3 linked regions of the Rhinolophus ferrumequinum genome follow. The main gene of each other region encodes a partner of the protein of the gene in region 3 in a complex. Links are inferred from orthologs where the notes say so. Each region holds a gene or a part of one and is shown on either strand. Other genes may lie near its edges.

What was found. The genes of interacting proteins can lie anywhere in the genome.
Region 1: the proteins of YWHAZ (region 3) and PRKCE are in contact, whole or in part, in a crystal structure (PDB 2WH0), measured with the Homo sapiens proteins. The link is inferred for Rhinolophus ferrumequinum from reciprocal best matches to the Homo sapiens genes YWHAZ and PRKCE. Residues at the interface, in NP_001129171.1 of Homo sapiens: Asn42, Ser45, Val46, Lys49, Arg56, Lys120, Arg127, Tyr128, Gly169, Leu172, Asn173, Val176, Glu180, Leu216, Leu220, Asp223, Asn224, Leu227, Trp228; in NP_005391.1 of Homo sapiens: Lys365, Ala366, Leu367, Ser368, Phe369, Asp370, Asn371, Arg372.
Region 2: the proteins of YWHAZ (region 3) and CDC25C are in contact, whole or in part, in a crystal structure (PDB 5M36), measured with the Homo sapiens proteins. The link is inferred for Rhinolophus ferrumequinum from reciprocal best matches to the Homo sapiens genes YWHAZ and CDC25C. Residues at the interface, in NP_001129171.1 of Homo sapiens: Lys11, Glu14, Gln15, Glu39, Val46, Lys49, Asn50, Arg56, Arg60, Val61, Ser64, Lys120, Arg127, Tyr128, Glu131, Gly169, Leu172, Asn173, Val176, Glu180, Asp213, Leu216, Ile217, Leu220, Asn224, Trp228; in NP_001274511.1 of Homo sapiens: Gly210, Tyr212, Arg213, Ser214, Pro215, Ser216, Met217, Pro218, Glu219, Asn220, Leu221, Asn222, Arg223, Arg225.

The regions. Positions count from the first base shown.
Region 1 is NC_046296.1:39,789,440-39,797,426, forward strand, and holds the start of PRKCE (protein kinase C epsilon type), read right to left. Parts: upstream 3,002-7,987; 5' UTR 2,868-3,001; coding exon 2,520-2,867; intron 1-2,519.
Region 2 is NC_046307.1:13,418,542-13,426,014, forward strand, and holds the start of CDC25C (M-phase inducer phosphatase 3), read right to left. Parts: upstream 3,002-7,473; 5' UTR 2,788-3,001; exon of another isoform or gene 2,764-2,787; intron 2,362-2,763; exon of another isoform or gene 2,346-2,361; 5' UTR 2,330-2,345; coding exon 2,136-2,329; intron 1,406-2,135; coding exon 1,296-1,405; intron 598-1,295; coding exon 552-597; intron 1-551. Other genes in the region: oocyte-specific histone RNA stem-loop-binding protein 2-like, read left to right, coding at 4,430-4,470, 4,575-4,679, 5,355-5,507, 5,650-5,770, 6,516-6,647. UniProt on the Homo sapiens protein: Functions as a dosage-dependent inducer in mitotic control. Tyrosine protein phosphatase required for progression of the cell cycle. When phosphorylated, highly effective in activating G2 cells into prophase.
Region 3 is NC_046297.1:42,633,619-42,640,972, forward strand, and holds the start of YWHAZ (14-3-3 protein zeta/delta), read right to left. Parts: upstream 3,016-7,354; 5' UTR 2,664-3,015; intron 2,338-2,663; exon of another isoform or gene 2,199-2,337; intron 1-2,198.

The DNA.
Region 1 (7,987 bases), on a different chromosome or scaffold from region 3:
TCAGGCCAGATTTCTTAGTCATACCTGACAAAGGGTGTATCTCTTCATCACTGCCAGGTAAAGAGCACAGAGGCCTGAGCCTGGGGAATTCTACCCAATAGTGTGATTCTGTAGGTGTCCCATGGCTGACAGGAATGGGAAAGGTGACCTTAGTCAGCCTAGGTGCAATCTGTCTTTGTTTCCAAGGGCCAGTCACCTCAGCTGATGCATGTCCACCCTTAGGCTGAAGGAACCAGAATGCCCACAGCATCCTCTCATTGAAAACAACACTAGATGAGCAAAGAGAACCGGCTCCATTATTTGATTCATCATCCTATCACTTTAGCCTTTCTGTATCTCAAGTGTTTCAATCTAATACCTGTCATACTTAATTCACACTTGCTTTAAGGCAAAAGAGATGGTTTTGAAAGTACTTTAAATTGTCACGTACAATAAAAACATTCAGGGTTATGGGACATAGATCAACAGGGAACATAGACTGGGAGGCCGGGGGCTCAGTTCTCCCCTGGGCAAGTGGTGGACAGTAGGAGGTATGGGCCTTACAGCCACCCATCCTTCGCCTGTTATGTGACCTCAGGTACCCACTGAGCTTCTCGGGGACATAATATCCTTGTCTGTAAAACTTGCCTGTCCACGAGATGATCTCTTCTAGAGCCAAATCCAACATGAATTAGAGACCCTTACAGAATGATAACCAAGCAAGACTAATGCCCACTGCATGATTCACTGGAAGTGCTCAAAAGAGGGACTGGTGTCCCGATATGCCCCGAGTTTGGGTGGGCCCCAGGAAAGCATCAAGAGAGACACTCAGACACCTCTCCCTCCAACCAAGTCTGTTTTGTGGATAACAGCAGACCTGCTGTTCATGCTACCTGCTCTCTGCCTCCTATCCAACTCCCTCCTCTGCATACACAGCACAAATCCCCATCTCCTCATTACCACAGTCATGTTTTTCTCTTCTCCTTCCTATTCTAAACCAACAACTTCAAAACCACAGATTTTCAGTGTTAAGGTCTGGCTCTGAAATTAGTTCTCCGTTCAGCTCTCCCTCAGATACACACTGCTTTCATGAGTAAAAGGAGTAATGGCCATGTGTGGAAAGGACGTTGGGGAATGAGTGGGAACTCTGGTAGTAGGAAGGAGGCAGAGGTGTAAGGGGCATTGGTGAAATGAAATAGAATGGAATGGCCCTGTGTCCTCTGGATTCTGTAAAGATTTACCTGCTTCCCAAATTGTAAGTCACAGGTCTCCTAGGGTTGTACCTGGTGTGGTATGTTGCAGCTTCCCTGCAATCCCTGTAACCATGGTTTGGGGCAGAATACATCACAGCCCTGAGCATAAAGAGAACAAACTTTTTCTGATTTTCCCCTAAAACTCCATTGCTTAAAAAACTATGTAAGGTAATATGCCAAGGTGATTCATATGCAAACTCTGACCCTAGGACAATTATGAAGTTATTTGTTCTCAATAAATAGGTGATTCCTCTACAGCTCTCCATGAGCAGCAGATACCTCTCTTTCTGTGTAAATCAAAGAACCCTGAAAACATATACACCCAGAGCCATACCTGCTCTTAGTGGAAACATGCGACAAATCTGAAAATATAAAAATCCATTTCCTCATTTAACGCCATCCCTCCAAGAACAGCTAAAACAAGGTTGCTTCTCTCTGCTTCTCTGAGTGCCAAGGTTGAGTGCATTTGACAAGGCCTCTTTCCAAGTCCCTAATATTTTGACAATGTAATCAATTAATTCAATCTCAGACTTCGAAATGGTATGTCATTGCACAGAATCTTGAAAATTAAAACAGGGAAACAATATAACTTTAAGTAGGTTTCAAAGCACTGATTTCCAATTACAAGCAGAACCATGTTTGATGGTTACAACACTCATTCTGGATGGATGGGCAATGCATTGGGCAAAACAAGCTCAGCTAATGTTTCTTGGACCCTGGAGGGGACATCCTAGAGGAGAACACATTTTTCTTCCTGTATGTCAGAAGATGAGCTAACCACCATGCAACAGAACAGAAACGAGCTAGCTTCCTCCAGGAGGGGAAAATAAAGCAGCTCCTCACTCAGCTACGCAGGACAAAGCCAGGACGTGCAAGAAGCCTTCAGTCTAGGGCTCCACGTGCTTCTCCAAGGACAGAGGAACCCACCCACACACAATCACACACAGCCAGCCCACTACACGCCTGCGGAAGGCGCCAGGTTCTCCGCCAGCCCTCAAGCATTGGAGGATCTGTGCTCTCCCAGCTCGCAAGCTCCGGGTAGCACTCGCTGTCTGGAGGGGGCAGAGAGCCCAGACTCTCTTTCCAAGTCTCCTCTTCCCTGCTCCAGTGCCTACCTCTCCCCAACTATCAAGTAGAGTGTGCTTCTCCAAGGTAACTGTGACTTACCTACACACACACCCCAAATAGCAGGAAGTCCCTGCGCCCCACGACCAGTGCCAAGGCCTTCTGTGTCCCCTCCACCCCGACCCCACAGCCAGGCTCCTGGCTGGGAGGCGCCCGACTCACCCAATCCTCGAAGTGGCGGCTCCCGTGCTGCAGCAGCTCCTCAAACTGGATGGTGCAGTTGGCCACGAAGTCGTCGTAGCCGATGGGGGCATCGTGGAAGACCGCCAGCTCGATCTTGCGCCCGTTGCACACATCGGTGACAAACTCGTCGTGCCAGGCCGGGCTGTTGGTCTTTTGCTTAGTGGCCGTTTGGCCGATGCGCGAATCGTCCACGTTGAGGGCGATGTAGGGGTCAAGAAGGAAAGTCTGTGGCCGGGGTCCCACTGCATGGCGCAGGGACCAGGCTGTGGGCTTCAAGCTCACGGCCTCGCAGATTTTGATCTTAAGAAGGCCATTGAACACTACCATGGTCGGGGCGGGGCGTGGGGGCCGGGGTCACTCCGTCCGCCCGGTGGGCAGGATGAAGAACCGACGCCCCGGCGCTCCGAGCTGCGAGGACCCCTGGGTCCCCTCTCGCCCCACCCCACACTCTCCCTACACCTTGTAGCGTTGCGCCCTGGAGCGGGCGATTCTCAGCGAGTGCATGTATTTCCTCGCCGGGTTCCTAACGGAAAACAGGGAGGGGGGGAGAGCTGGGGAATGTCCGTGTTAGGAGCAAGTCTCTCCCCCCCTACCACCAGCAGCACCTTCAGGAGAGGAGAGGAGCTGTCGGCTCCGCTGCCAGCGGCGGGGACTGTCTCGCCGCCTCACTGGCTCTCCGGGTCCCGGCTGCGGGGAGGCGGGCGCCGCGCCCGGCGCTTACCTACCTTTCCGAAACATAATCCCCGGGAAATTTCGACTCCGGGAGGGCGAGGGGGCGGTGGGACGGGGCGGGGACGAGAACGGGGGCGCAGATTTCAACCCGGATCCTCTTCTCACACCCAGCGCCTGCCTCTGACCGCGCGGGGCGGGGGATGGAGCGAAGGATGTTCAGTCTATCCGGAGGGATGCATGTCGAGAGGAAATGGTCCTCCTCGGAGCCAAATTTTTAAAAATCCACAAGCCCCACCGCCAGGCTGGCCGCCGCCTCTTGGGCGAAGCAGCGCCGCGCCGCAGTCGGCGATCCTGAGGCGCCAGGAGCCCGGAATCTCACATCCGCGCGGGCTCGAAATCGGGGTGGCCGCCGCTCCGGCTCCGGGCGCAGGCCGGCACCCGGCGGTGCGCAGCGCGGCGGCGGGGCCGGGACTGCGACTCGGCGCGGCCCCACCTCCTGGGCGCCGGCGCCCGCCCGCCCGCCGCTCTCCTCGCGTCCCGGCTTTTGGCTGCCGCTCGCTCGCCGCCTGCCCGCCCGCTTTTCCCCCTCGGTCCCTTCTCCCTCCGTCGGTGTGCGAGCGAGTCTCCCTCCCTCTAATGCAGGAAATGCGCAAAAGACGTCAGAATGTGTGTGTGTGTGTGTGTGTGTGTGTATGTGTGTGTGCGTGTGCGTGTGTGTGTGTGTGTGTGTGTGTGTGCACGCGCGCGCGCGCTCCTGTGTTTGGGGAAATAGAAAGTTTTGCCGGTTGGGGGAGCAATACGGGAAAAGTGAGCCGAGTAGAGGACGACCGAGAGCCAGCGAGCCTGCCCTGGTGGCGGCGGCGGGCGGGGGAGCAGGGCAGGGACCCCGCGTGGGATCCCGGGGAGTGGCGGCACTGGGCCCCGGGTGCGGGTGCCTGCGGTCTTTGCTCTACACCCGAGACGAGCGGGCCGCCCATCTCTCCCGGGCTCTGTGGCCAACACTGTCTTTTATAACCGCGAGGGGGAGACGGGCGGGGGTCGCACTGCTAGAGAAGACTCGGGACCCTTCCCCAACCCCACTCTCACTCCGGCTGTAGCAGGCCAGGGCAGCCGGCCGAGTACTGGCCTGTCTGTCGGTCAATCTGGCTTGATACGCTGGGCTCCACGGTGGTGGGGGAGGGGGACAGGGAGGGCGTGCAAGGCTCGGTGTGAGTTTTTACACGTTTATTCTCTCTTCCCTTTCTTTGGGGCATTCTTCCCTTTGGGATCTGTCCCGGACTTCTCAGGCTGCGAGAACTTGTTGACAAGTGAAAGCTTAGTAGAACCCCGTCTTGGTTTGTTTATTTTTTACAAAGTAACTTCATATTTACTCTGGACCTTGTCTGTACTCTTTTGGGGGACATGACTCTGATCAGTGCGCTGACAGCGGCTGTCTTAGCTGCGGGAAAACGGGGCGCGCTCTCCATTGCGGGGGTGTGGGGGGAGTGCCTGTGTCAGTGCTAATTTCCTCCGTAACCTTTAAACTCTCTCTGGAAGCCGCCGCGGCGGCTGGTCACGTGAGGCGAGCCCTAGGCTGCTGGGGAAGAATTTCCTTCGCCAGGAGCCGGGGACCGGGAAGGCGGCAGCGCGAGGGACTGCCCCGCGCCGTGGGACGCGAACCTGGGAGGGCGGGGCGGAGAGCGCGGAGGCCCACGGCGCGGCCTGGGTTGGAAAACCCGGAGGACTGCCCCGGGAAGAGGTCATCTCCGCAACCTGTGAGCCCCACGCGGTGAGGGGGTTGGGGGTTGGGGGGGGAACAAATGGAAAAAGAAAACCTGGGTTCTCACCCGAGTGCCAAGTCAAGTCAGAGAGTCTGTAGGAATCCGTAAGCTGAGTGTTTATCTGGCGGGACCGGTTAGTGTAGACGAAAATGTAAAACCCACCACTCGATCCCTTTTTCTCAGCGGAAAAAGTTCATCACTGCCTGTGGTTTAAAGGCTTAAAGGCGAGGAAGAAAGCAGTCCCCTGTAGGATACCGAGTGCAGCACACAGGTCGCAAAAATCACCAGAGAAGTTCCAAGGTGATTGTGGCAGGTCGTCTGTCTCCTAAGGTAGTCGCTGCTCTCCGGAGCTTCCAAGTAATTTCTGGCAGCCTACTCTCACCTTGTTGAATGGGGCAGGTGGGCAAAGAGAGTGCTAAAATGTAGGTGGTTCACATAAAATGAGATGGTTCACAGAAAAAGTCAGGATATAAAAGTTATGTCCTCACTAGACCACTCCCACCAGCTGGGGCTTATATTTGAGAATCTGCCAGTTTGACAAAGCACAAGTGGGATATCTCACTGCTGTTTAATTTTTATTTATTTGATCATCAGAACTTTTTCCTCCTTGCTTTTTACTTCCACCATTCTGTCCTTAAACTTCCTCCTCCCTTCACCGGGCAAGTGATGGAACGCAATGGCGAATAGGTCTTGATCTTCTGAAAATGCATTTGGAAAGTGAGCCAGCACTATACTGAGATGAGTGAGAGATACCTGACAAAGAGACAAAATTTAAAGGGTACCAATAAACTCGGTAATCAAGACAAATAATATTTGAATGCAGTATTTTGAAAAAAAACAAAATGTAAAAATCCAGCATGAACATACCCAAATTTTAAATAATTTTAAATATTGCATTAAAATATTATTTATGTTACTAAGTTTTTCGACACCCCTGAAATTTTGTACCCAAAATAAGTCGTTCATTTGACTCTCCCTAACCCTGGCCCTGTTGGGAAGTCTGGAAAAGCAAGTATTTCTGAAGTTAGGGATCTTTGCAGTAATCTGTAACATAAATCTGAGACTTACCATGCAGAAGGATTGAAAAATATTGGCCAAAATCCTTCCTCTTTAGTTTGTTAAACAGGAAATAAGTTTACATCTATGGACACGCTGAGCTTATTTTTTGCATATCATATCCCCCCTTCCCAGGCAAGACTCCCTCCCCGCCCAAGTATATTAAATAGAACCTGTTGCCATCGCCATGAGTGGGCATTCTTAAAACCCATAACCTACAAACTTCCAATGCCATTTTCTTGCAACCCGAGTAAGGTCTCAGGCAGGCTGTTAGTTACACATGTGCGAAATCAGACTGCAATTCTCAGGTGCAACCAAAACCAGTGTGACTTCTCTTTCAATAACAAGTCTTTCTGTCTGGGGCGGAGGGGAGGTAGGGGAACTGAAAACCGGCCCAACTGCCTATTTTGTATTGGATGAAAATTTAAATAAAAAGAGAGAATGCTGGTACTCTACATGCAAACATTGCTGATTTCCTGCCCTTATTACATCCTGATTTCTAAATAGATCTGTTGCCTCCCTACTCTCAAACTTGGCTGAATGAAAATATGTATGTATTCTCCAGGAGTACCATGGAACTACCAGATGTGAGCTTGTTTAGGGGAGAACCTGTATATTTCCCCGGGAGGGGACTGGTCTAAAATAACTCTGCTCCAGATTTCTTGTGAAAAGAAAAAGAAGCCTTTGCAGGGAAGAAGGTTTAAAATGTAAAATTCAAATCAATAATTATTGTCTATTTTATCCTTCTTTTGGCCCCTGCATATAGTCCCTAAAGACAGGACTGCCATTGATGTAGACATTGAGTAAAATGCCCTTTCGGTCCCAACTATGGCTTAATCATTTGTAATCTTTGGGAGAGGGAAGAGGAAAGGAAGAAAAATGATATAAGAATTTTACAAAGATGATCAAGATGGTGCTTTTCTCCTTTTAAAATTAAGGCTTATGGGGGAAAAGGACTGAAAGAGTAACAGTCCCTAGGGCAGTGTGATAAGCGCTGCTGTAGACGTAGGGGTGCACCTCTAGGAGAGTAGAGAGGAAGGATCAGCCCTTTGCCTGGGGTTGCCTGGGAAAGCACCACCCAGAAGGTCTAGGCTTTCCAAGAGGAGTTCCTCCAAAGGTAAAGAGGAGAGGGAAAGGCATTGGAGGCAATGGGAGCAGTGTGCAGAGCACAGGTAGATAAGAGCATGACTGTTTGGGATGAGTAAGTGACCAGGTGTACCTGGTGTGTGGCAGGCAGTGAAAAGAAGTGACGTAGGTCGGACTGGGTAATTAAGGCCTCACAGAACCTGAAAATGGGTTTGAACTCTTTTCTTGAGAGACACTGATCATTCTAAAGTGGGGGAGCAGCATAACTTGAATTAATGCTTTAAAAAGACAAATTTGTGGGGATGGATATATTTCTGTTCTGCAATTTTCTCCCAGAAGACTCACCCCAAAACAGGATGTTAGCTAGAAGACCCAAGTCTGAAGGTGATTTACACTCCATCTGATCAAAAATGGAAGTCTGTGGATATTGTTTAGATGGGCTACAAGAAGTAGGGAGGGGGCGTCAGAACATTAGACGAGCATGTGAATATTCATGTCCTGTTCCTGTGCTGATTGTTGCCATTTGTAGAACGTTCGTGGCTTCTGCAAAGGTCTGCCTGGTCAGGACCCGTCAGACATTCCGCACGTGCTCGGTGGAACAGAATTCAATCACCTGGGCCATGGATGGAATGCACAGCTCCACAAGGGCACGAAGACCTTTCAGAGTTTTGTCAGCGTAGCCCTGCCCCAGCCTAGCCCCACCTGAACCCCAGCCCCACTTCTAACCCCACCCCAGGTCCCCAGGCCCACCCTCTTGTTGGCTCACATATGCCCGCCTTGTCTTATTTTGGCCCCATCTCTTCTCTGAACTGTTGCAATGACCCAGAGACCAAGCTTCCCTTACACCTGCAAGGAGGTGGAGGGATCAGATGC
Region 2 (7,473 bases), on a different chromosome or scaffold from region 3:
ATAAAATGCTTGGGAGGTGCTAAGGATTAAATTTTCATTGGCTAAAGGATTAAATGAAAACTTAATCCTCACAATAGCTGTTTATAAGAAGTGCTGTTATTATCCCCATTATTATTGTTTCTTTATCATTAATAAAGAAACTGAGGTGCAGTGAAGTAAAGAAACTTGTCAGGGTTACAGTTGGTGAAGTACTAAGCCACTGGAATCCAGACACTGATTTCAGAACCTACACTCAGCACTTTTAACCACTAAGATACTGCACTACTCACATGCATGTAACAGCGTATAGCTAAGTGCAGTATATACCATTTTCCTCCATTTTTAAAGATAACACTGATGGTGTGTGATGGTTAAAATGAATAGCCCTCATTTTCATGACACTATTTAGCTCTGGGAAACTTAAAAACCTTTCAAGGGAAAGACCTAGGCCTCCAAGCTAATTATACCCAAAGTGAAATGTTCTATACTCTGCTGAGATTGCATAGGATAAAATCCACCTGCCAGTGCCGAAAAGGCTTTAAGCATGAGGTCCATTTAACAAAAGAACTCACATCAGAGCTAACTGTATTTCCTGAGGTCCTGAAGAATCCAAGTGACCTGCAATCAGATATGAAGTTATTCTTGTCCATGCATCCTGTCTTTCCTTCTGATTTTCTTTATTACCAGTAAGCCATATTAATATCAAAAGCTGACTTTTTGAACACCATGGTTTTTGATAGCTATTAATTTCTTGGTACAAGGTATAAATTAGTAGAATCTTAGGAATTTGCATGTATCACTTAAAGAAAAAATGCTGGGAAACTACTAACTTACAGAGATTTTTCTTTTTTCATGAATAGAAAAGTATGCTTACCACTCAGGAAATCTGAAATTAGAACAAATACTAAAATGGTTTACTAGTAAAAAAATTCCTTTAGGACTGAGACCCTATGAAAACACAAGAATTAGCTGACAAAGTATTTATGTAGGTTTCTTTGCCTCTGCTAAGATTACACTAGGGTATAAAATTCCTCCTCTTAACTACTACTTTCATTCCCATCAATCAGTGAATTTCAATTCATACCATCAATCAGTCAACACAGTATACCTTCCTGTTCTAATTTTTCAAATGCAAAGTGGCTCCTATTAATGTTATTATCTTTCTCTTCCCGTTGGCTTGATCATTCTCCTCAAAAATCTTATAGGTACCCACAGACTTCCAACTTCAAGGCTCTCTATTTACTTTTATTACCTTCCATCTATAGCCTACTACCCTGTCCTCTCCCTTAAAAGTTATTCTTTCCCTTGACCCTTACCATCCTTCTCCCTACCAGTTTCATCAAGGTGTACAGAAGTGGTAAGCTGTGTGGCAGACATCTCCCCACTGCTAAGATTCGAAAGATCAAGGCAACATTTTGGGGTTCCTCTGTTGAGACATAATAGTACATCAAGATTCCCATTAGGATGTAATATCCTTAAAAGGCAAAAATCATGTTATCCTCTTCATTTGAAACAACCCTCAATGACTCTCATATAATCTGAACAGTGTCCAGATAAATCTGCTTTTGGAAATATTTCAGACTACGCTGAGAAAAATCTCCCACCTTTTCTCTACTCCAACAATCTGTATCTCATTTTCTCCTCACCAACATATGGTATTGAGACAGTATAATTTTTTTTAAATGAAGACCAAAGTTTATTAACAGAGGTGGGTATTGACCCCACATCTTCTGTCCTGTGCACCATAAGAACACAGACTTGATTTCTCCCTGGAGTCTCTAGTACTTCTCATGTCTACAACCCTCCAATTTTGATTGCTAGCTGAGAGTCAGGGTATGGCATGATCGGAATTTAAAGTACAATAACAATACCACTAATATTAATACTAATAAAGGGACCAACGCATAATGCAATAGAGTTTTCAAAGACTTTTCCCAGACATCACATCATTTGATTCTCACAAGATCCTCGTGAGATAGGAAGAGATGATAATTTCTATGTCACAGAAAAGAAGCCTGAGAGTCAAAAGGGTCACACGGTTAGTCAAGGGCAGAGCTAAGACTTACTTAAACACTGATCTTTGAGCCAGAATTTTATTAAAAACTCATTAACTGTTTAGAAAAGCAAAGGAGCGAAGGTGAGAAAAGTAGATTTACCTAGACAAAATGCTTAGGTTTGCAAAATCACCAAAAAGTTTGTCCACTGGAGTTCTAGGAAGATCTGGACAGATGGTAAAGGAAGTGTTTTTCTCCAGGAGCAGGTTTAATATCTTCCTCTGATGGGACCTAAAACTGGGTCCTGACTCAGGACTTCCCTCTTCGCTTGTGGATGAAAGGAGATCGGCAGACATGGTCTCCGAGTACACACTGAGAAAAAAAATAAAAGCTAGCTAAGAGGAGGACATCATCTATATACATACATCACAGATCGTCCATAATATAATATAATATATAAGCAGCGGCCAAGCGGTCAGTATTTTTAGGAGGGTCATCCCCAAACGATGACAAAACTTGGCTTGAAGGTTAACTTGCCTGAAGCGGCTTGGCCTTTTCGTTGGAACCTTAATTTAACGAGAGGTAACCCCAGGACTTTAACCCCAGGAAATGAAAAAGGGGGCTTTGTCTTATTCGGGGCCACACAGCTCGTGACTCCTGACCGGAAGGAACTCAGGTCTCCTAACTCTAGACAATGCCAATTAGGTCCCCTAAACTTCCGTTTGTGGGGCCCCGACGGGGCTCTGGGGTGACAATGGGGTGATTCAGGCGCAGACAGCTCCGGGCTTACCTCAGGTTTGAGTCTGAGATTTACCTTCAGGAGGAAGGGAAGTGGATGTAGATGGGGTCAATCACAAGCGAAGACCAGAGCAGAATTAAAGGTAATCTGGGGAAAGGTGGCAATTAACCAGACTACAATTCTGCTTTTTCACTGGGTAGGTCGGAGTCAGACTTTGCCGCTTCTCTCCTCAGAGGGTCGAAGCCTCGGAGCAAGAAAATAAACAGCCACAGGCCTTGACCATTCAAACCTTCCGCCCTCCCAATAACCTATCCCGCTCGCCTCTAAACTGCGTCAGCCAATCTCCGCACGCCCGCCCAGAAACCCCTCGGCCAATCGTTTGGCTGGTATATCAACCGGAGGCGTGAACTTGAGCTGGAAGGAACACAATTTGCCCCGCCTCACAGCCAGAGCAGAATGCCGACTGGCCCACTGGCGTTCGGCAAGGGGTTTAGTAAGCCCCGCCCCACACGGAGCCTGGCGCACCATTGGCTCTGCCTCTGGCCAATCGCCACACCCATCTTGAGCTCTCCCTTTGCTCAGCCCCTTCGTCCCCGGGAGATTTAAATTGCACTTTGCTCCGCGGTCCACTCGTTAGGTTAATACCTGAAGACATTAGTTTCGATACAAGGGTGTTTTATGCGTTTCTTTTTCCTTGGTTCTTTCTTGTGTTGTTACATGGACCTTTCCCTCTTAGTTTGCTAGCCTTCCGCTGGAAGTGGAGCATTTGTCGCCGGTGTGGCAGATGTGGCGAAACAGGTGTGTGTGTATTTATGCTAAACGGCATTGGCCCCTTCCAAGAGGTTTCCCTGTTGGGTGTCCCTTTTAACGCACAGCATCTCTGAGATGCTAGGTTATGTGAGTAAAGGAAATTCCTTTTTACGGAAAGCAGGGGAGTTGAATCATCTGTTGGCACAATCCTCATCAAAGTCCAAAGGATCCCAAACTTTGGTTGTTTATGGAAATTTGAACATTGGCTAGGTGATAGTAAGAATTTATTCTTAATTTGGGGGATTTGCTTTTAAGTAATCCTGTGGTAGTGGTGGTGGGTATAGACCAAACAAGACTGGCCATAATAATTGGTTGATGGGTAACCGGGGGTCCATTATGTCAGTTCTCTTAAAGTTTAGGCTGCATACTAATCACCTGGGGGATTTTGTTAAAATACAGATTCTGATTCAGTAGGTCTGGGCTGGGGCCCAAGATTCTTTACATCAAACAAGCTCTCAGCTGATGCTGATGCAGCTGCTACAGGGACCATAGTTTGAGTAGCAAAATATTATGCTATTCTCTTTACTTCTCTGTATGTTTGAAATTTTCTATAATTAAAAAAAAAATGTTTAAAATAATCTTGGGAGCTCTTTAAAATACAGGCCTCCAAAATGAAGATTCAATAGGTCTAGAGTGTGGCTGAGGAATTATCAAGGTCCCCAGGTGCTACCCCTGCAGATGGCTTGCAGACCACACTTTGAGAAACATATCAGAAATGCAACCTTTACCTTTTAGAAACAGTAAGTCAGAAATACAACCTTTATCTGGTGTCAGGATCTTGGTGGTGGTAGTAGTGGCTGAGAGGTGCAGTGTAGCAAGCTGGATTTTGCCCTAACACAGATTCATCTGTAGAATCTGCTTCCCCAGGAAGGAGGTGTGTGAAGATTCTTTGTCCTCTAGGATAGAGATGGTAAGTGTGGGAGTCAGCACAGAGCCCTGCCATACCAGGTGAGTGAAAATCAGGCTGGGGATTAAGGGAGGGTGGGATGAGTTGGTTTCTGCTTTGATAATTATAATCACACTTCATGGAGCCACTATATACTTCTCTGCAGGTGGGAGGTAGAGACAGATGAAATTGTCCTACAGCGGAGGCAAAAGCAGATAGATTATGGCAAGCGCACACCTGGTTACCAGTGCTTTCTGCAGCAGGTCCCCAAGTGAGTGCCCATCTTAAGCACTCCCCCAAGTTGTGCATAGTCACAATAAGAGAGTCAATCAAGTGGCTTTGGTTCAATGTCAGGTGATGGAAAGATACTAGAATCTGAGTGCTCTCACAAAATTGCAGCATTACTAAAACGAATTATCCTGCAATCTAGCCCCCAAATTAAGTTTCCAAGATTTTTTCCAAATGGAACAAGTCATACTTGGCACATAAGACTTTTTTTAAAAGTCTATCTTTTAAAAAAAACTATCCATGTTTTTGGATAATGAAGTTTTTTTCTTTCCAATCATTTTTACCTCATGCCTCCAACTGACGTGGCTAATTGCAACATACTTGCCCAATTACATGTAAATTTGCATGCATACATACAAACTAAATGTATGAAAAGGTAGAAAGTATTTGAACAGGATATCAAATACTGTCTTTTATATCTATCTTGACTTCTGAGGAAATTGGAATATATAATTTACCATTTCCAGAAGAAAGAATATTAGGGAATTAGGAAGGTGATGTTTAATCTGATTGAAGGTTTATTTTTTTCTGTTGGATCAAGAGAATTGATCATACCTTATTCTCAGAGACTCCCTAACGAGTCTCCTGTTTTACTGTGATAAGCAGTGAGCCGTGCCCCCTCACCTTGACCTCATTCTGACACATTTGTCATTGCCAGGACACAGCGACAGCCAGGACTTCACCCTCAAACACCAAACAAAAATAGGAGGTACAGTCGCCGCTCCTGGGATGCCCAGATCAGGCAGTGGAGAAGAGCCCTACATTCCTGGGATCCCCCCAGCCAACCTCTGCAGGGCACGGGGGCTAAAGGGTGTGTGCATTATTCTTGGTTCCTTTCTTGAGTGGTGGACTGAGTCCTACATCTCCCCCACTTTGCAAAGATTTAGCTTTCATTGGCTGTAAAGGAGAGTCTGAATGAAGTGCATGTTTCTCTGACTCTGCTGCCTTCCCAGGCAGGGAATGAAGAGTCTCTTAGAGCCAGTGGATTCCTCCCTTTTGAATAACCTCCTGGATGACTGGTTCCAACCCCTGGAATCTTCACAATATGGATGGAGACCAGAGGGAGCCCAGGTAGTATCCTCTGCTGAAATCCACTGGAGCAGGGTCAGAGATGGGGTCTGGTCCAGGAGGTCACAATTAAGATGGGCTTCAAGGTAGTAGTCCAAAAACAAAACAAAGAAAATGGGGCAGCAGGAAAAAATAGCATGACATGAATTTAAAAACTTGAGAAAAGTGACATAAGGAGATTTAATTATAGTTAGTAATGGGGAGTTGGGCTGCACTGGGGGCTATTTTATACTTGATGAAAGGTGTATAATTTTCCTTTGAAGTGAGGCCTGAAACTTAACTTGCGGGGCTTGTTATTTTTTAACTGCCTCAATTTCTGTCAATGTTTTGCAAATGAGCCAATGCTAACTTCTTATACTCAATCATTTTAGTAAGCATGGTTAATAATAAAAAGGGGGATCACCTAGTGGCGAAGACCAAGGGCTTTAGAGCTTCAGACTCTTTTTTTTTTTTTTTTTAAATACTACCTTTGTCCACCACATGGGCAGTCACTTATCATCTGTCAAATAAGGAGATTTTGACTCATTTGATGATTGTAAGCAAAAATGAGAATACATATTTAAAGTGTCTGGCACATAATAAGTGTTTTACAATAGCAATTATTGGAAACCATGTCTCCTGTAACTTCATGGCCCCTACCCCTGCTCCTTCTTTTCCCAAGGGCAAATGTGCAGGGCAAGGAAATGTGAAGTACATCTTCCCTTCACCCCCCCATTTTCTTAAGTACCTCACTTTCCCTCTTCTTTTCCAGTTTGCAGACTTGGTGGCTCCTGCCTTCTCCCTTCCCTGGCTCTGTGAAGAAGATCCCCACCACTGGTTCTACTTTCTGGCTGATCACAGTTACTTATCTGTCCCAGACTTGAGTGAGGCACAGAATATTTAAGGAAAACAGATGTCTTTCCGGGGCCTTGTTGCTAAGTGTAATAGTGAGGATTTACTTGCATTACTGTTACTTTCCAATTGATTAAAAGAGAAATCTAAAATCCTGCCCTACAAAAGAGATCACAACAGGGAGGCATTGTTTAAAACCTCTCCTTTTTCCATCTTTTTGTCTGTCTCTCTAAATCTTCTTTGATAGCTGAGACTCAAATTTACATAAGGACCAGAAACCATCTAGCTGTTCCCCAACCTCTTCACCTACTACGGACTACATTCAGTCTCTTCAGAAAGGACTTAAACTTTGGCTGAGGTGGGAGGTGGTGGCAATGGTGGAGAGGTAATAAAAAGGTGGTTTCCTCTTCCTGAAGAGGAAATATAGCAACATCAACATCTTTTCCCCATCTGCCTGTTTTCCTCCCTCCTTCCCTCTCTTAAGGAAAGTGGTCCAGCTGTAACCACCGTACTCCCCCCACCCCCCACGCGAGCTACTGAACCGCCTATGATGTCATAATCACAATCCCATTACCTCATCCTATTGGGGGGGTGGTGCGTAGAGGGAGGAGAAGGAGTGAACAGCCCTGGGCCCTCCTCAGCTTTACTAAGTGTTTGGGGTAAGGGCTAATTACAGAACCAAATGGAAATGGCCCCGCAACTGTTACAAGTCCTGGATTTATGAGGTTCGAGCCGATCCGGCCACTGGAAGAGGGGCTCCTGGGACACAGAGCAGGCCCTAATCGGCGCTTGGACTACACTTCCCAGAATCCTTCACGTCACGGACGGGTCCTCTGCTGGGGGAAGGGGGATTCCTTCAGTGAGGTGGCCCTAGAAAG
Region 3 (7,354 bases):
ATCACTAAATAATAAAATATTAAACAGCTTTTCTTTAGTGAAAACACTACTTAGGAAGAACATTACAATTCTTTTCATACTTCCCAAATCATGATTCATGTCAGTTTAATGTGCAATTTGTGTCTTTTTTACTTCCTTAATATCTATTCTTTTTAGGAGTTTTTTAGTTGGTATTAGCCCCCAACCCCAAATGAATAGATCTCTGCAACATTTGCCAGCTGACAGCATAATGGTAATTTTCTGGGAGAAATGACCGAATTGCTTGTTTTAAGATATTTTGAATATAAAAACACCAAAGATCAGTATCTAACTGAACTGACCCTAAGGCCTCATTTATCTGTACCTTGTTATATGCACACGTTTGAAAAATATGCCCGTGAGTCCTTCAACTTCACCCCTTTTTTTAATTAATTTTACTGGGGTGACATTGGTTAGTAAAATTATATAGGTTTCAAGTGTAGAGTCCTGGAACTTCAACTCTTACTGTGAGCACTAAAATGTATATTCGAGTGTGACCAGTGTTTCTGATGTCATTATTCCAGTTTAAATGTAAAAGTACTTCATTCTGTTTCTAGTAGTCAAAATTAACTGAATATATTATCATTCGAGCTGCCCTTACCATGACTTTTGGCCTTATTCTTTCTCTCATTTTAAAGCTGCCTAGATTTTTCAATTTATTCCTGTTATACTGTTCCTGAAAGATATCCTTTTGAAAGGTGCTGAAACAGCAAAGAAAGATACTAAAACATACAATCATCCCACAGAAGAAACGATTTTAAAGGAAAATGGACAGCCTGAAGTGCCCAATTAAACGGTGAAGGGAAGAGCCACTGTTACTCACTATAGGAATTGACTCCCCAATATCATATCTATTTCCTTCCCAGGAAAATCACACACTCACACACACACACACACACACAATTCTAACAGGGCCCCGGTATTCAAGCTAGTAATCAGCTAGCTTAGATGTGAGGTGTAGTATTTCAATTCGAAAAAATTTGTAATTACAAATTTTAAAACCCCCACCCGCCCGTTCTCGAAATTACTAATTTTTCCTCTAGGAACTCAAAAACGCTCTCAGGTTAAAGCTGCTTCTAACGAAAAATTATCTAAAACCGGTACAAAGGTTTCTCTCCCCAAACCCTCGGGTACTACAAGTGGAGTCGGTTTTTCATAGAATAAATAACTAGTGTTCCAAGGCCTCGCCTCTATATTGCAGAGAAGGCTCGCCGCACCCATTTAACCCTTAACCGACGTAAGACGTCGGGTTGGGCGAATCGTAACCCCGCCGACCGTGACTTTAGAGCGCAAATCCTTCCGTCCGCGCTGTTAACTCCCGCCTGGCTCCGCCCAAGCTAGTGCCTCCGCACAAGTCCCCGACTCTCCCTCTTTGTCATGGCGGATCTGTGTCAAGGAGCCCAACCTACCGCCGAGTATTAATTCCCCCCACCAGAGCAGGAGGGAGGAGCAGCGCGCCCCCTCCCGAGCCGAGGGGAGCCGAGGGACTGCCAGCCCCGGGGGCAGAGACGACAGCGCTGCCCACAGAAGCAGAACCACGACCAGCCGGTTCGCGGACACACCCCACTCTCCCACCGGCGTCCAGTCCGCCACCGGACACCGCTGGTACTCATTTAGTCTATACCGGCCCGACAGCTGCAGCAGGAGGGGGAGGGGGACAAGAGCCACACCCAGGCGAGCCGAGCCACCGCCGGCTGTTACGCTCTGGCTTCCCCGCCTCGCGGAGCAGGGTACGAGCCTCAAAACCGAGCGCAGGGCCCCTCCGGTTCTAGCCCCCTAGCTAGGCGAGCGAGACACCGGCCCACTGTCTTGCCCATCCTCTTCTCTACCCCTACCTGGGCTCGGTCGGAGCCCTCTTTCCCCACAAGAAAAGGCCAACCCCATCCCCCACCACACCCCGGAAAATTCAAGCTCTCCACCCCGCGGAACCCAGGAAATTCGTCTCAGGCGAGCCCCACCCGGAGCCGGCTCACCCGCGCGCGCGCGCGCGAAGCGTGGCCTCTCCCTAGTCTACCTGGCGGGAGCCTCCGGGCCGGCCTCGAATCGCGCGGCCCGAGCCCCAGGCCCAGCCCTCCCGCTCGGGTGGGGGAGGGCTGGGTGCCGCCGCCGCAGCGCGGGGCGCGGAGGCTGCGCCGAGGGGCGGGGGGGAGGGGAGGACCGCGGGGAGGGGGCGGCCTCACCTGCGCCACTGCAATGCCCCCAGCCGCCGAGTCATTATCTAGTGCGGAAGCGAGGAGCGGGACGGCGAGGGGGAAGGGGCTTTGGGACAGGGGTGACGATGGGAACGGATCGCGGCCAGTGGTGCCTCGACCACACCAGAGAGCCGGCGACCGGGCAGGTCCCCAGGGATCTCGCTTGTGGGCGCCCCTTCCACCCCCGGGGACGGAGATCGGCAACGGGAGCTTATCCCAGCCGAGGCGTCGATCCGGAAGCAAGTAGCCCGCGGCAGCCGCGAGCAGCCCGAGTCCAGCGGAAGAGAAGCCGCCGCCCGTCTTTGCCTGAAGAGACTCCGCCTCAGCCCAGCGCCGCTACCGCGGGGCGAGAAGGGCTGAAAGGATGTGGAGCGGGGACATCCCCCGCGCTTTCGGAAGACTGGTCTGGGACAGGAAGGAGTGGGGCGAGGCGGCGGCGGCCGAATCCCTTACCTGTGTCCGGAGTGGGTGGCGGCGGACCGACGGGGGCTCAGCAGTCTCTGGGCGGCGGCGGCGAGGCTGAGACTCTGTCCCTGAATCTCGCTGCTCACAGGCTACAGCCGCTCCGCAGACACGGGGTTTCCTCCAATCACCAGCCCCGGCAGCAGGGGCACCAGACGCACGATGACGTCAAACGCTGCTATAGCAACCGTTGATTGGTGCCCACAGCTCGGGGGGCCCAGCGCAACCGCCGCTCCCTAACGCGCGCGTCCTGCCCGCCCGCGCTAGAGGGCGAACGGAGGAGCGCGCGTTCTCTCCCGCTACCAACCCTCTTCCCCGGTCTGCTTAGCTTCCAACTTCTCTACTTTAGCCTCGAGGGCGCCTGGGCAGGAATCACCTTTTTTTCCCCTCCCCACCACTACCCCCCTACTTCGCCTTCCCCTCTGACTCCCTGCCACCTCCGCCAGCTCACTCTTCTAAACGTGCGAGAATGAAAATTTTCCCCACCCCCACCTTAGCTTTCCGTGAGGTCTTTCTGCGCCTGCGCCAGTCATTCCCGAAGGGGCTCCGGTTCAGCAACATCCGGGACCTTTCACATTCCTCCCCACCCCCTCCCTGCGGCCTGGCCCTCCCCGCCCTCCGTGCTACGCGGTCGTAGCTGCCCACTGGGCGGTCCGGGGGCGGGATTACGAGAGTGGCTCCGCGGTTTGCGCTTTATAATCGGGATTTGAGGCTGGGGGCAGGAGCGGGGGGAGAGGACAGGTCGCGGTCAGACAGTAAGGGAGGGGCGGTGAGGCGCGCTATCCCGGGTCCGCCGCTCCCCCCCACCCCCCTCCACCGCCTGGCCGGCCCGACTTGGGCGAGAAGGGCCTCTCCCTTCCGCCGCTGCGGCTTTACCTGCTGCTGGCTCCGGGAACGTGGCCTTAGACCTTTTAAGGCTCAGAATAGGGAGTGTGGCGTCCGGCCCCAGAGTATGAGCTGAGTGACGGGAAGGTTTTCCAATCCGGAGCCCTGGATCGGCGTGCAGTGACAGCTGCGAGGGGACAATGGTTGGGCGCGAAGTGGGGGTGTGGTGGGTTGGGCGGGCTGAGCTAGAGGGAGGTGAGGCTTTGAAGGAGACGCCGCCGCGTTCAGAAAGCCTGTAACTCCCAAGAGTAAAAGACCGCCTTACATGTAGGGTTTGGGGTGATCATGAAGGCCTTAGGCACTGACTCGTTCCTCGGAGGTTAGATTTTAATACCCAAATAAAGCTTTCACTTGAAGACTTCATGCTGCAGTGATTTAAAACGTAAAGATCCTTTTGTTTCTCCCCAAGTAAGGTTTGGTTTGAAGCACGTGGTAGCTCCCAGGGCCTGGGATGACCCAGCCGTCAGTGAGAGTGGGCCGCTGGTAGGGCGAGGACGTATCAGGAGCCAGGAAGAGAGGGGAAGAGAAGGAAGGAAGGACCGGGTGCCGGTGCCGCACAAACCTGCCAACCTTCAACTGTAGGGCCTCCACCCAGTCAACTTCAGGAAGTTAAGAGAGATACATTCACAGTGTAAAATGGCTCTGCCCCTTCTGCCTCTAATTGTGATACAGCTTATGAAAAGATTAGTGCTTGGATGACCTACAAAACCAGTTGCAAAAGTCATCGAGAGTATATAGTTAGCAGTGAGAAACTCAACTCTTCCACTACTCTTGTGTAAATTCCATCTTGGTCTCATTGATTTTTTCCAATATATCTTTACTGAGCACCTTCTAGGGACCTGCTTTAGGCACAATTCACAAGGGAGCCTCACAAAAGATTTCAGCCTCAAGTTCTGCAGAGGTTTGAATTTGTCAGTAGCAGGCAAAATGAGTCCTCAATCTTTGAGCACCTTGTTCTGTTTGATGGATACAATGTCTGTGCCACAAAACTGTTCTACAAACGACATTTTTGCCTGAAGTTCCAGTTAGCATTTAGATAATAAAGTACAAACCAGGAAGGATGTTTCAGTGACCAGTTAAATTTCAGTGGTTTTTATTTTCCCCCAAGTTTCCACATCACCACAGATTCATAGTAAGCTGAACTGACGAACAAGTTGATTGGGGTTTAATTTCTGAGATAGTAAAGTCAACTTTCTTTGACTCCCAAGTAATTTCTTTTTGGGAGTGACTCATTTAAAATGACTCACATTTTTAATGCTCTCTCTTTTTTTTTTAAGTCTCTGGTTTTGTGGTAGGCACCAGAAATTTGATAGAAGATATTAAATTAAAACTTTCTTAAAATGGGAATTGATGTTTCTTTAATATCTCAAATATATGTATAGATAGAATACATACTTTTTATTTTAGAGGACGTTAAGGAATTTCTCTTCATAAGCAGTGGATTTACTTTAGGAAACAACTAAATTAGGTTTTTGCTTCATGCTTTAAATAGCAAGGCATTGTTTAGTGAAACTATAAGAGCTGTTAGGTTTTATATACTCAAATCAACATGTTTATGGATTAATGGTGTAATGAATGAAGTTGCCGGGAAACAAAAATAGAGAATGTCATGAAAGCCCCATGAAGTGATAAGTATTTTGAGGAATAGGAATAATATGTGACAAGGATAAAAGCAAAACAAAGAATAAGTAGAACCTATGAAGTTGAACTCTGGGAAAATTATAAGACTTTCACTAAGTAGCCTGACCTGTTTTATTCACCACTCATCTCTGGTGCCTCAATCAAGTCGCTTAACCTTCTTGATTTTCTTAACTATTGATTTCGCTTAACTATTCTTGATTTTCACATCAATAAAATACTGGTAATAGGGGACGGCCCCGTGGTTCAGGTGGTTGGAGCTCCGTGCTCCTAACGCCAAAGGCTGCCGGTTCGATTCCCACATGGGCCAATGGGCTCTCAACTACGAGGGTGCTGTTTGACTCCTCGACTCCTGCAAGGGATGGTGGGCTGCGCCCCCTGCAACTAACAACGGCAACTGGACCTGGAGCTGAACTACGCTCTCCACAACTATGATTGAAAGGACAGCAACTTGACTTGGAAAAAATCCTGGAAGTACACACTGTTCCCCAGTAAAGTCCTGTTTCCCTTCCCCAGTAAAAATCTTTTAAAAAATAAATAAATAAAATACTTGTAATAAAACATGAAGTGGTGTTGAGGATTAAGTGAAGTAATATACATATATTTATTATATCTATATATTAACATATAACATACAATGCTTAATACCATTCTTTGCACAAAGTAGCTCAGCTATTATTCATTTGTAAATGGATATATTGGATGTCTCTACTTTTCAAAGGGTTGTGAAGATAAAATAAAACTATATTTAAAATGTCTTAGAAGTGTGAGGTATAAAGAGGTTCACTCTGGAAAGGCAAATTTGTGTTAGTCTGAGACATAAGCAGTGAGACAGTGCACATCACTGCGTTTCTGTACTGGGGACTGCAACGATCACTCAGATCAATGCTATACATTAAAATAGGAAAGAGTTCAGGTAAATTGGCCTAAGTCCATCATTCCAATTAGAAAAACATCACAAAGGATGGACTGTATTGATGATGTGGCAGTTAACATGATATTTTGACTTTAATCGCAATTCAGGTTATAATCTCACTTCAACATTATGATTTACTTGAAGAAATACAGCATAATGCCTTGGGCTTTTAGAGTCAAAATGGGGTACAAATCTTTGTCATTCTGAGCAAATTCTGAGCCATTTAGTTTACTAAATTGGACATACAGTACTAACACCAAACTTCGTCAGATTATTGCAAGGATTAACTGAGAAAGTGAGGAGAGGGCTACACATAGTACTCTAGATCGTGATGACCTATTGTTGGAATTACTTGGAGTTAGTGGCAGAGGCAGGCTAGTTATTCATCGAAACCATTTTTTATCAGAACCAGAGCTGGACTCCATTGCCCAGTCTCCCTTGCAATCAGGTGTGGTCATGTGACTGAGTGCTAACTACTGGGATATGAATAAAGTGATGTGCTCCACTTGTGGCCCGGGTCCACGAAAACCTCCTTGTTTGAACCTTCATGTGGTCCCTGAATGGACCTCTTCTGCCAGCTAAATGGAGAGCATTCCAAAGCTTTACAGGAGGGTGGGACCATAAAATGAAAGGAACCTGGGCACCTGAAAACCTGTGAAAGCCGGCCTCAATCATTTTAGACTTTACTGAGGGATAACTTCCATTTTTAAGCCACTGAGATTTAGGGTTTATCTGCTATGACACCTAGCACTGTAAGGTCCTTAGATGTCACTGGCAAGTCCAATGCATAAGAAAGGTGTTTTTAAAAAAAGAAAATGGAAAAGAAAAATGGGGAGGGTTGGTAAGAAATGAAGTGAGAGAAGAACAGGGAATCTGATCTTCTGATAAAAGTCAGTTTAAGTATCTCAACTAATCTGTTGACTTCTAGAATGGAAAGTAGCTTTGTCCTCACTTAATTCTAAAATTTAAATTTACTATTTTACTTGATCCCATCTTCATTTCCTTCGTCTACTACTTTAGCCTTGTTTTTCTAAAAAGAAAAATTCTTTTTGGTCCATACCTTTTAACTCTATCCCCACATTCCAGACTCTAGTCTATGTTCTATGATACTTTGGTCACAGACTGTGTTTTTTGCATGCTGATTAAGACAAAAATGTAAACCAACAAGGAAGCCAAACTGACAAAATTCTCATTTCATACATTCATCAAGCATTTAATGAGGGCCCACTCGTCAGCTTATGCT